Ovis aries: one gene and its partner. The protein of the gene in region 1 purifies or fractionates together with the protein of each later gene. This does not show direct contact. Links are inferred from orthologs where the notes say so. Each region holds a gene or a part of one and is shown on either strand. Other genes may lie near its edges.

Evidence for each region. The genes of interacting proteins can lie anywhere in the genome.
Region 2: the proteins of VTI1B (region 1) and STX12 purify together in Homo sapiens (affinity purification with mass spectrometry; 3 studies listed by BioGRID and IntAct, counting the BioPlex papers as one, with this or other methods). This does not show direct contact. The link is inferred for Ovis aries from reciprocal best matches to the Homo sapiens genes VTI1B and STX12.

Annotation. Positions count from the first base shown.
Region 1 is NC_056060.1:77,604,454-77,609,412, reverse strand, and holds part of VTI1B (vesicle transport through interaction with t-SNAREs homolog 1B), read left to right. Parts: intron 1-1,561; coding exon 1,562-1,753; intron 1,754-3,892; coding exon 3,893-4,066; intron 4,067-4,959. UniProt on the Homo sapiens protein: V-SNARE that mediates vesicle transport pathways through interactions with t-SNAREs on the target membrane. These interactions are proposed to mediate aspects of the specificity of vesicle trafficking and to promote fusion of the lipid bilayers.
Region 2 is NC_056055.1:239,286,582-239,291,540, forward strand, and holds part of STX12 (syntaxin-12), read right to left. Parts: intron 2,400-4,959; coding exon 2,327-2,399; intron 1,638-2,326; coding exon 1,555-1,637; intron 245-1,554; coding exon 152-244; 3' UTR 1-151. UniProt on the Homo sapiens protein: SNARE promoting fusion of transport vesicles with target membranes. Together with SNARE STX6, promotes movement of vesicles from endosomes to the cell membrane, and may therefore function in the endocytic recycling pathway.

The DNA.
Region 1 (4,959 bases):
TAATGCTTATGACATTATGATCACAGATTTAACTGTTCCTGTCTATTGACCTTAGTTTTGATTATTTCTTACTAAATGAGGCCAGTTGATGGGGATGGGTATTTGAGTAAAACTTGAAGATTCCTCTGTGAGTCCTTGATAAAACATTGCTGATACAATAAGGACATTCTCCTTTTACCTAGGTGGCCTTTTGAAAGCACTTTTTAAAAGCTGGCCATTAAGATAACTTACTCTCCTTTGTTAAATTTACTGTCACAGAAAATGGAGCTCAGAGGTGGTTCCTACTCACATTGCCTTGTTTTGAAAAATAGGTTTTGGTACCTTGGGCAAGGTATGCATGGTCAGGATGAGTTCTCAGTCAGGATCCTAAGCTTATCAGAAGTTGGTCCAGGTTGCTAAGCAGTTTAAGAACTGCTTCATTTAACCTGTGACTTTTCTTTAAGAAAAAAAGAAAGAAAGCAATTTTTGCTCTTACCTTTTAGAAGTAAGGATCCTCTGTCTTCATCGCATTGTGTCTAGCTTTAGCAAACCCTTTTAGGAAGCTGGAGCTAAAATCTCGATCTCTGGTAGCACTCCAAAGAAATAGTTGCCTCTAGTATCTGCTACCCCAGAGTAGACTGAAGAATTCTTTTTAAGCCAGAGAACTTTATTGTTTGTTGAAGAATACCTCCTTTATTCCAATGAAGTTTTGAGAAGTTAAGCCCATCTGCATCCTTTTTTTTCCGCTCTGCATGTATTTGAAGGAGGATCAGCCTACCAGACTATGGAAACTATCACCTTCATAATGGGAGTACCAGAAACTTTTCTAATACCTCTGCATTACTGGGCATATATCTGTGATATCTGTTACAGAGCTAGGCCTCTTTTTCAGTTAACATCTTGGTAGCATTTTCTAAAGTTAACCAGTCCTACTCTAGCCATCCAAAGCAGAAGAAAATGACTCATGGGCTCTTACAAATGATTCTATGTGTTACAATTTACTTGTCCCAGAAAAATGGAAATGATCTGGACCCCTGGTTATTCTCACATGGACACAGACAGTTGATTTTCAGGTGGAGGAAGGGAAGAACCTTGATGCCATACCCCTAATCATTTTTAGTACAGTAGGTCCCTAAGTGCTTCGTGATAGCACTTGGACCATAACAGGCTAAGAACTTGGTATACTGAAAAGAGTATGAAGATCTGGAATCCTGATTTATGTAATCTTGAACAGGTTTCTTCAAGTCTCATATATGAAGTAAAAGTATTTCCTACCGTTTTGATCTGTTGTGAGAGAATACATGTCAAAATGTTTAATAAGCTATAAGTAGCTATAAGCTACTTGTTAGTTTTCTCACTCATTCATCACATACCTTTTGAAGACCTGTTCTGTGCCTGCTGGGCACTGCACCAAGCACTCAGTAATGAAGTAAAGGTGTCACGTGTGGTCCTTCCCTTCCTGGGCCACATGTTGAGTATTTATTTAGGATTGCTTGTGGTTTGATTAGTCCAAACTAGACATATTACCCATATGAGAGAGAATAGAAGCAGGCCGTCTACTCACTGCTTTCTGCCTTCCTAGCTGGCAGAGATGGAAGAGGAACTGCGTTATGCACCCCTATCTTTTCGTAACCCTATGATGTCTAAGCTGCGAACCTACCGGAAGGACCTTGCCAAACTCCATCGGGAAGTGAGAAGTACGCCTTTGACAGCCACTCCTGGGGCCCGAGGAGACATGAAATATGGCACATACGCTGTGGAGAACGAGCATATGGTGAGTTTTAGCCATCTTTGTCCTGTGGGTCTGTGGCACAATGATTAACCAAATTGTGGAGTACAGTTCAAATACTCCACAAGTACGCCTGGTTTTTTCCCTCTTCTTTCTTGCATCCAATTTCCCTTCTCCCCTTGGGTGCCTGCTTCTACTGAATTTAATGCAGATCATTCCAAGCAATTTACCTGTTTAGATTTTTTTGTATCCTTTATGTATAAAACAGTGCTTGATGGGTAGTGGTGATAAACAAGTGTTACCTATTCATATTATACCTGGACTCTAGTCTGATTCACCAATCCAGTTTCTTTCTCACATATCCCCCCAGAGTTCAGTTAAGATTTTAACTTATCAGAGCATTGTTATTTGTATCAAGATGGCCCAATAGCCCAGATACAGTAGAGAAAGCAGGATGCTTCCCAAAAAGGGGGCTGACGCCTTACTTCATCATAATAGAAAGTGAGCCAGGCTGCCTCTCTAGCCTCCAGTGTTCTCATTTATAAAATTAGACTACTAAATTGAAAATGTATATTCTCAAACTGTCTAAAGAAGCTAGGTAGGTAAAGGAGAAAAGCTTCACAAAGGTTAAATTTCATGTGTTACATTTGGGACTATATTCCACAGCACGAAGTAGAAATGGCCTGGCTGGTAATGTGGGAGAGAAGTGGAAGGGGGCCCACTAGTGCAGACTGTATGGATGTAGAAAGGCTGATTAAACAAATCCTGTTTCATGAAGCACCCTCCTAAATATGGCTTAAGAGATATTCAAATGATAGTGGCCTGACATTCCTGATGTGAAAACTAGAGTACTTGAGAATGATGTAAAATTTTCAAAGGAGAGTGGGAAAATGCAGGCAAGTAGCGCTTGTTAAAAGTGAGATGAAAGGTGTACAGTGACTTTGGTCATCTGTGACCCAAAAAGCCCCAAAAACAAAAGGGGGGAAGATAATTCCAAGCAATAATTTTGCTTTAAAATTATTAGTTTCAGAAATTATAAAAACAATATAGGTATATAAAGTACTTTCAGTAGAATTACTGTTCCAAATCTGGGGTTGATTCATGTGACCTTACTGTCTCTCCCTGCTCTTTCTTAAGCCCACTCAGTTGAAAATCCTCATCTTTTATGTTTAAAAATGCTGTTTTCCTGCTGCTTTTAAGCCAGTGTAAACTGGGGTTCATTTCAGCCTTATTCAGTGGTTTCCTCACTCACTCGTCTGTATGCTGTATATGAAGTGAAAAAGCCTTCTTGTTGCTTCTGATCTGGAAACACATCTTTTCAGCTTCTTACTGGTGGTATCGAGTGCTAATGGTCACCTGCTCAGTAACAGGCCTTGTGAGCTGACCCCTTTTCCAGAGTTTGTACGCACGTGTGCTCTGAAGAGCTGAGGACTTAGAGCTGCCTCCATTTCTGTCAGTAGTTATTTCTGGCCTGACAAAGGCTGCTTCGGTCCTCATGCCTCCTGTGCTTAGGAATAGGTGGAATAATACTTTGGTGGAGTTTCAGAAATAGGGCGCTTACTTGGCCCCAGATACTACCTCCCCTGAGAGTAAATCACCAGTGTAACAACTTCAGTATTTGTCTTCTGTGTTTGGCCTGAGGCGAAATTCTTTGGATGCTTACCAAGAGTGTAGCTACTTTTTTCCAGAGAGGAGTAGTCTTTCACACTTTTAAGTGATTTCTGTGTGTGCTAAACACGAATAGCTTATTCTGTGGTCACTCAGTACCAATCAGTGGGAACTTTCAGTGAATTACACTATCTCTAAGGCGGTAGAGTTTAGTTGGTTTACCCTATCAAAATGATAGGATGTATGCATTTTCAGGTAGCTCCTGCATCCCAGATCTGGGCCATTGCCTCTCAGAAGTTGTTAGTCCAGGAAGCACATGAGTCAGTTCAGATTCATCAGGAGCACAAGGAAGATGCTCTGGTGTATTGAATCCTTTCCTTGCCTCACTTACATGTAACAAGCAGTGGACTGGGAGGTATTGTGATCCTAGATTGAACCCCAGGTTCTCTTGTAGTCTGATTCATTAGCATCTTTGATTGTCTTACAAGTAATGAAAATTACTACACATTATATCCCTTCTTATAAATTCATTTATAATGGAAGAAGTCTAACAATTCCCTTCCATACTCCTGTCAGAATCGGCTACAGTCTCAAAGGGCATTGCTTCTGCAAGGCACTGACAGCCTGAACCGGGCCACCCAGAGTATTGAGCGTTCTCATCGTATTGCCGCAGAGACTGACCAGATTGGCTCAGAAATCATAGAAGAGCTGGGGGAGCAACGTGACCAATTGGAACGTACCAAGAATAGAGTAAGTCTGGGTGGATAGGGAGAGGGGCAAAAATGGGGAAAGTAGGTGGGCCCATTACACCCTGATGCTGTCAGAAGCTACCACAGTTCCAAATTCAGGGTATGATTTTTTAGGTTCTTATGCTTTCTCTGTTCGTAATTTGCTTGACTAAAACATATCCCTTGGAAGTAATTTTACTTGTAAGATTTAGAGGTCATTGGGCAGGGGGAGTGAGATTGCATAAAACCCAGTTTCTGCATTTATTGAAGATTGTCAAATAGCATTGTAGCCATACCATCCTTTTATTAGGTCCTGTATTATGAACTAAATTTCTGTCTCTCACACGTCTAGTAGAACACCTGCTATTCTTATGAAAGCCAACATTTGCTTTAAAAGATTCTAGCTTTCCTGTCATTTAGAGCCAAAGCTATTTTCCACATGTCATAAAATAGTACTACCGACAATTTAAAGAGGTTTAATCCTGGACTCTTCTTAACCTAAGGTAAGGGAGATCATGGGCTTCCCTGATGGCTCAGTGGTAAAGAATGCGCCTGCAGTGTAGGAGACACAGGAGACAGAGGTTCGATCCCTGGGTCGGGAAGATCCCCTGGAGTAGGAAACAGCAACCCACTCCAGTATTCTTGCCTAGGAAGTCCCATGGACAGAGGACGTGGCGGGCTACAGTCCATGGGGTCACAGAGTCAGATATGACTGAGCAACTAACACCACTACTGCTACACACTAGGGGAGATCACTGTGAGAAAACAAAATCCTTAGGCCAAATGATGACTATATTGTGGCCTCTATCTACTATCACTCTAAGAGGCTCTGAAAAACAACTTATTTCTTCCTTTCTGTACCATCTGCAAAGGAATTTTAAAAACTGCCAATGGAATGCTGTGTTAAGAGCATGA
Region 2 (4,959 bases), on another chromosome or scaffold:
CCAAGGACTAGTTAGTAGTTAGTTTCTAACTAAATTATTACAAGACATTCTGGTGTATTCTCTCTTCTTATGATCAGTTTGTTCTGGCAAGACTCCAACAAGCACTTGCCCTTGAAAACAGCTCAGCGGGAGAAGGCTGGAGGCAATCACTTCATTTATTAACTAGCCACAAAATAAATCCCAAGATTACAATAATCACTGACAGGACAAGCACCAGGATACAGATCTTCTTGCGAGATTTTTTCTGAGGAGAGAAATATGTAAAGAAGACACTCATGAAACAAGTAAAAAATGTTTATAAAACTCCAGGAGTGCTTCATCAGTCGGGCTCCTGGTAATGCAAAATTAAACTGTGTATGACTATGCAGACACCTTCTCAAAAATCTCAAGGTACCAGTGCTAGACAGCAGTGCAAGTCCTCATTCAATGCTCCCAAATACAGTTTTGCAAAGGAACTGTTTATGTTGCAAGGTGTTATTTGCCATAAAATAAGTTATTTGTACATGTATATTTGAATAAAGGTTTTATACCTATTATAAAATTTTATGTTCACTGTAAAAAATACAGACAAGCAGAAGAGAAAATAATCACCCACAGATAAGACAGCTGACATTTTAATTGTATTTTCTTCTGATCTTTTATCCAGGCAGATTTATCTGACAAAATTGGAACCATACTGTATCATGTCTGATGGTTTTCTCACTCAATATTTTAGAATAAAATTTGTGATATTATAAACTCTTCATAAACATCTTTTAATTCCCACATAAAATAACATGAAGTGGATGTAGATAATTTACTTGACTGTTCTTTACTGTTGGATATTAAAGTCATCACTCACTTTTTAAAAGGAAACTACTGTTAAATACAATTTCTTTAAGAACAGTCCCAGGGGAAGTACAATTATCTTAGGAACATGGTAAATGACTAAATGCTATTTGTTTCTAAAAACCCATGCAATACCAGGTTGAGGAGAAATGAGAAGGACCTCATTCACAACATGTGTAAACTGAGGTGAAGACCCGGATAAAGTTCGTAAAATCAGAGTTTCAAATAATATGTAGAAAAATACCACTTTACAGAAAGTAGAACAATTAACCCCTATTTGTTCACAGCAAAATAACCCTCATATGATAAGCCAACTAATTCATACATAAACAGCAGTCCAAGTTGAGCCTCTGTCCATTTTCTGTGGCAACAGTCAACATAAATTATCTGCAAAGTCCTACTTTGTACCTATTACTATCCTAACTGAAACAAATTTCATCTGTTTAGGTTAGAAAATTAGCCTTACCCCAAATTAGGTATCATGCTAGCTTATCGGGATAGCTTTGTAGCTAAGAGGCTTTTATGTCAGTTTATTCAAAGTTTGATGCCTTTTTTGTAGATCTCTCTGCAAAGGAAAATACTAAAAATGGGGCTGGGATGGCAATTACGACTGCCTGCCTCCAGCTTAAGACCAAACAGACGGCTGCAGCTGTTCTCCATGTGTCAGTGACTCTCATGGCCCCTAGAGTCTACAGCAGAGTGACTTTCTTTTGTACCTGCTTTTACCTGATAGTAAGCAGCTCGCTGTAGCTGGTCAGTGGCTCTTTCTACATGCACCTCTGAGCTTTCCACGTTGGCTTCTATGCTGTCTGCAAAAGAGAAGGGCAGAGGATGTTTTACCACAGTCGGATGTTTCAAGACTGCAAACTGAAGAGCATTCTGATGCTAAGGGTCCTGTTCACCATCATCACTCCAACTATCCAGCCATGAGATCAAAAGTTACCAACCCCATAAGAGAACAGCCCTCTTCTTTGGAAATAAACACCAAAGAATTATTTAGAGGTAGAGGGTTATGAAGTATGTAAATCATCCACAACAGTTCAGAAAAAAATCAGGTAAATAAAAACAGTGCAAATAAAAAGCAAATGGGGTAGAATGTTAACAAGAAGTAAATCTAAGTAAAGCTTATAAAGGAGTTCCTTGTTATTTTCATTTTTGCAACTTTTTGTGAACTTGAAATTATTTCCAAATAAAAAGTTTTTTTAAAAAAGGGTTTCAAATCCCATAGTTGTGCAAGTTTCTGGAGATAAAAACTGAGAAGCTGACAGCAATTTCCCTAAACAGCCAAAGACTTAACATGAGGCTACGGCAAGTGAATGGGCTATTCATGGAAGCCTCAGTTTAATTTCCACATTTGACAAGGTAAGAAAATTGCTAAGAAAATGAATTTAGTGATTTTTAAATGGTATTCCTAGATTCCTAAGACACAGCTTACCGACTTCTTTGCATACAAAAACTATCCACTCACCTTTATGTTAAAGGTATCAATAATACATACCAATGATATCACCTTGGTCATGGATCATCATGGCCAAATCTTTAAATATCTGATTGACATCCAAAATATCAGCCTAAGGAACATACACACAAAAAAATTAACCAATATTAAGTAACATGTTGGAAGATTCATTTCCTCTACTTACCTAAAGTTCTGGCTATTAACATAACACATGTGTTTTTAAAGCTTATAAATCATGCTTTCTCTATAAACAGAAAATGAAAATAAAGTTAATTATTAACACTTACTAAGTGACTTCTGTATGCAGAGTACTATGCTGGTAGGTAATTAGAAGCACAGTCTCTTGGAGCCTATCAGTTACAGAGGACTGTTAACCCTTCACAGTCTTGTTCAACCTTAAATTGAGAACTTCTTTGGACCTCCCTACTAAAATGTGGACAATGACAGTACCCATCTCATAGCATTTTCAGAAGTACTAGATAAAAAGTTCTTCAGTTCAGTTCATTTCAGTTCAGTTGCTCAGTCGTGTCTGACTCTTTGCGACCCCATGAATCGCAGCACACCAGGCCTCCCTGTCCATCACCAACTCCCGGAGTTCACTCAGACTCACGTCCATTGAGTCTGTGATGCCATCTAGCCATCTCATCCTCTGTCGTCCCCTTCTCCCCCTGCCCCCAATCCCTCCCAGCATCAGAGTCTTTTCCAATGAGTCAACTCTTCTCATGAGGTGGCCAAAGTACTGGAGCTTCAGCTTTAGCATCATTCCTTCCAAAGAAATCCCAGGGCTGATCTCCTTCAGAATGGACTGGTTGGATCTCCTTGCAGTCCAAGGGACTCTCAAGAGTCTTCTCCAACACCACAGTTCAAAAGCATCAATTCTTCGGTGCTCAGCCTTCTTCACAGTCCAACTCACATCCATACATGACTACTGGAAAAAACACAGTCTTGACTAGATGGACCTTAGTTGGTAAAGTAATGTCTCTGCTTTTGAATATGCTGTCTAGGTTGGTCATAACTTTTCTTCCAAGGAGTAAGCGTCTTTTAATTTCATGGCTGCAGTCACCATCTGCAGTGATTTTGGAGCCCCCCAAAATAAAGTCTGACACTATTTCCACTGTTTCCCTATCTATTTCCCATGAAGTGATGGGACCGGATGCCATGATCTTCATTTTCTGAATGTTGAGCTTTAAGCCAACTTTTTCACTCTCCTCTTTCACTTTCATCAAGAGGCTTTTTAGTTTCTCTTCACTTTCTGCTGTAAGGGTGATGTCATCTGCATATCTGAGGTTATTGATATTTCTCCCGGCAATCTTGATTCCAGTTTGTGCTTCTTCCAGCCCAGCGTTTCTCATGATGTACTCTGCATAGTAGTTAAATAAGCGGGGTGACAATATACAGCCTTGACGTACTCCTTTTCCTATTTGGAACCAGTCTGTTGTTCCATGTCCAGTCCTAACTGTTGCTTCCTGACCTGCATATAGGTTTCTCAAGATGCCGGTCAGGTGGTCTGGTATTCCCATCTCTTTCAGAATTTTCCAGTTTATTGTGATCCACACAGTCAAAGGCTTTGGCATAGTCAATAAAACAGCTGCTGCTGCTGCTGCTGCTGCTAAGTCGCTTCAGTCGTGTCCAACTCTGTGCGACCCCATAGACAGCAACCCACCAGGCTCCCCTGTCCCTGGGATTCTCCAGGCAAGAACACTGGAGTAGGTTGCCATTTCCTTCTCCAATGCATGAAAGTGAAAAGTGAAAGTGAAAAGTGAAAGTGAAAAGTGAAAATGAAGTCGCTCAGTCGTGTCTGACTCTTAGTGACCCCATGGACTGCAGCCTACCAGGCTCCTCCGTCCATGGGATTTTCCAGACAAGAGTACTGGAGTGGGGTACCACTGCCTTCTCCACAATAAAGCAGAAATAGATGTTTTTCTGGAACTCTCTTGCTTTTTCAATGATCCAGCAGATGTTGGCAATTTGATCTCTGGTTCCTCTGCCTTTTTTAAAACCAGCTTGAACATCAGGAAGTTCACGGTTCACGTATTGCTGAAGCCTGGCTTGGAGAGTTTTGAGCATTACTTTATTAGAATGTGAGATGAGTGCAATTGTGCGGTGGTTTGAGCATTCTTTGGCATTGCCTTTCTTTGGGATTGGAATGAAAACTGACCTTTTCCAGTCCTGTGGCCACTGCTGAGTTTTCCAAATTTGCTGACATTATTGAGTGCAGCACTTAAAAGAAAGGGTATTATATGGTAAATGACTAATAAGTGGTATAGCATTTACCTCAAGCAGAGAAGGAAGACTATGGCAGAAGAGGCAGGACTTAAGAAGCCATATACATAGAACAAACAGCCCAGTTTGGCTATAACGTGGATGTGATATTATGATTCATAATAAGAAATATGTATTTGATCTTTGTCTCAACCGGAGCACAGAGCTCCTAAAATTTTTTTCTAAGTGATAAAAGAGATAAAGATGTCCTTTTTAATTCAAAACAAACCCTTTCAACCACTCCTAAGTATGTTAATAGCTTGGCTTTTGTAAAAACCCCTAAGGATGGGGACTAGTTGCCAGGGGAACCAACCTGGTGTTTAGTTGATTGGAACTTTCAGCCCCAATTCCAACCTCTGGGGAGGGGTGGAGGGCTCAAGGTTAGATCAATCACCAAAGGCCAATTATTT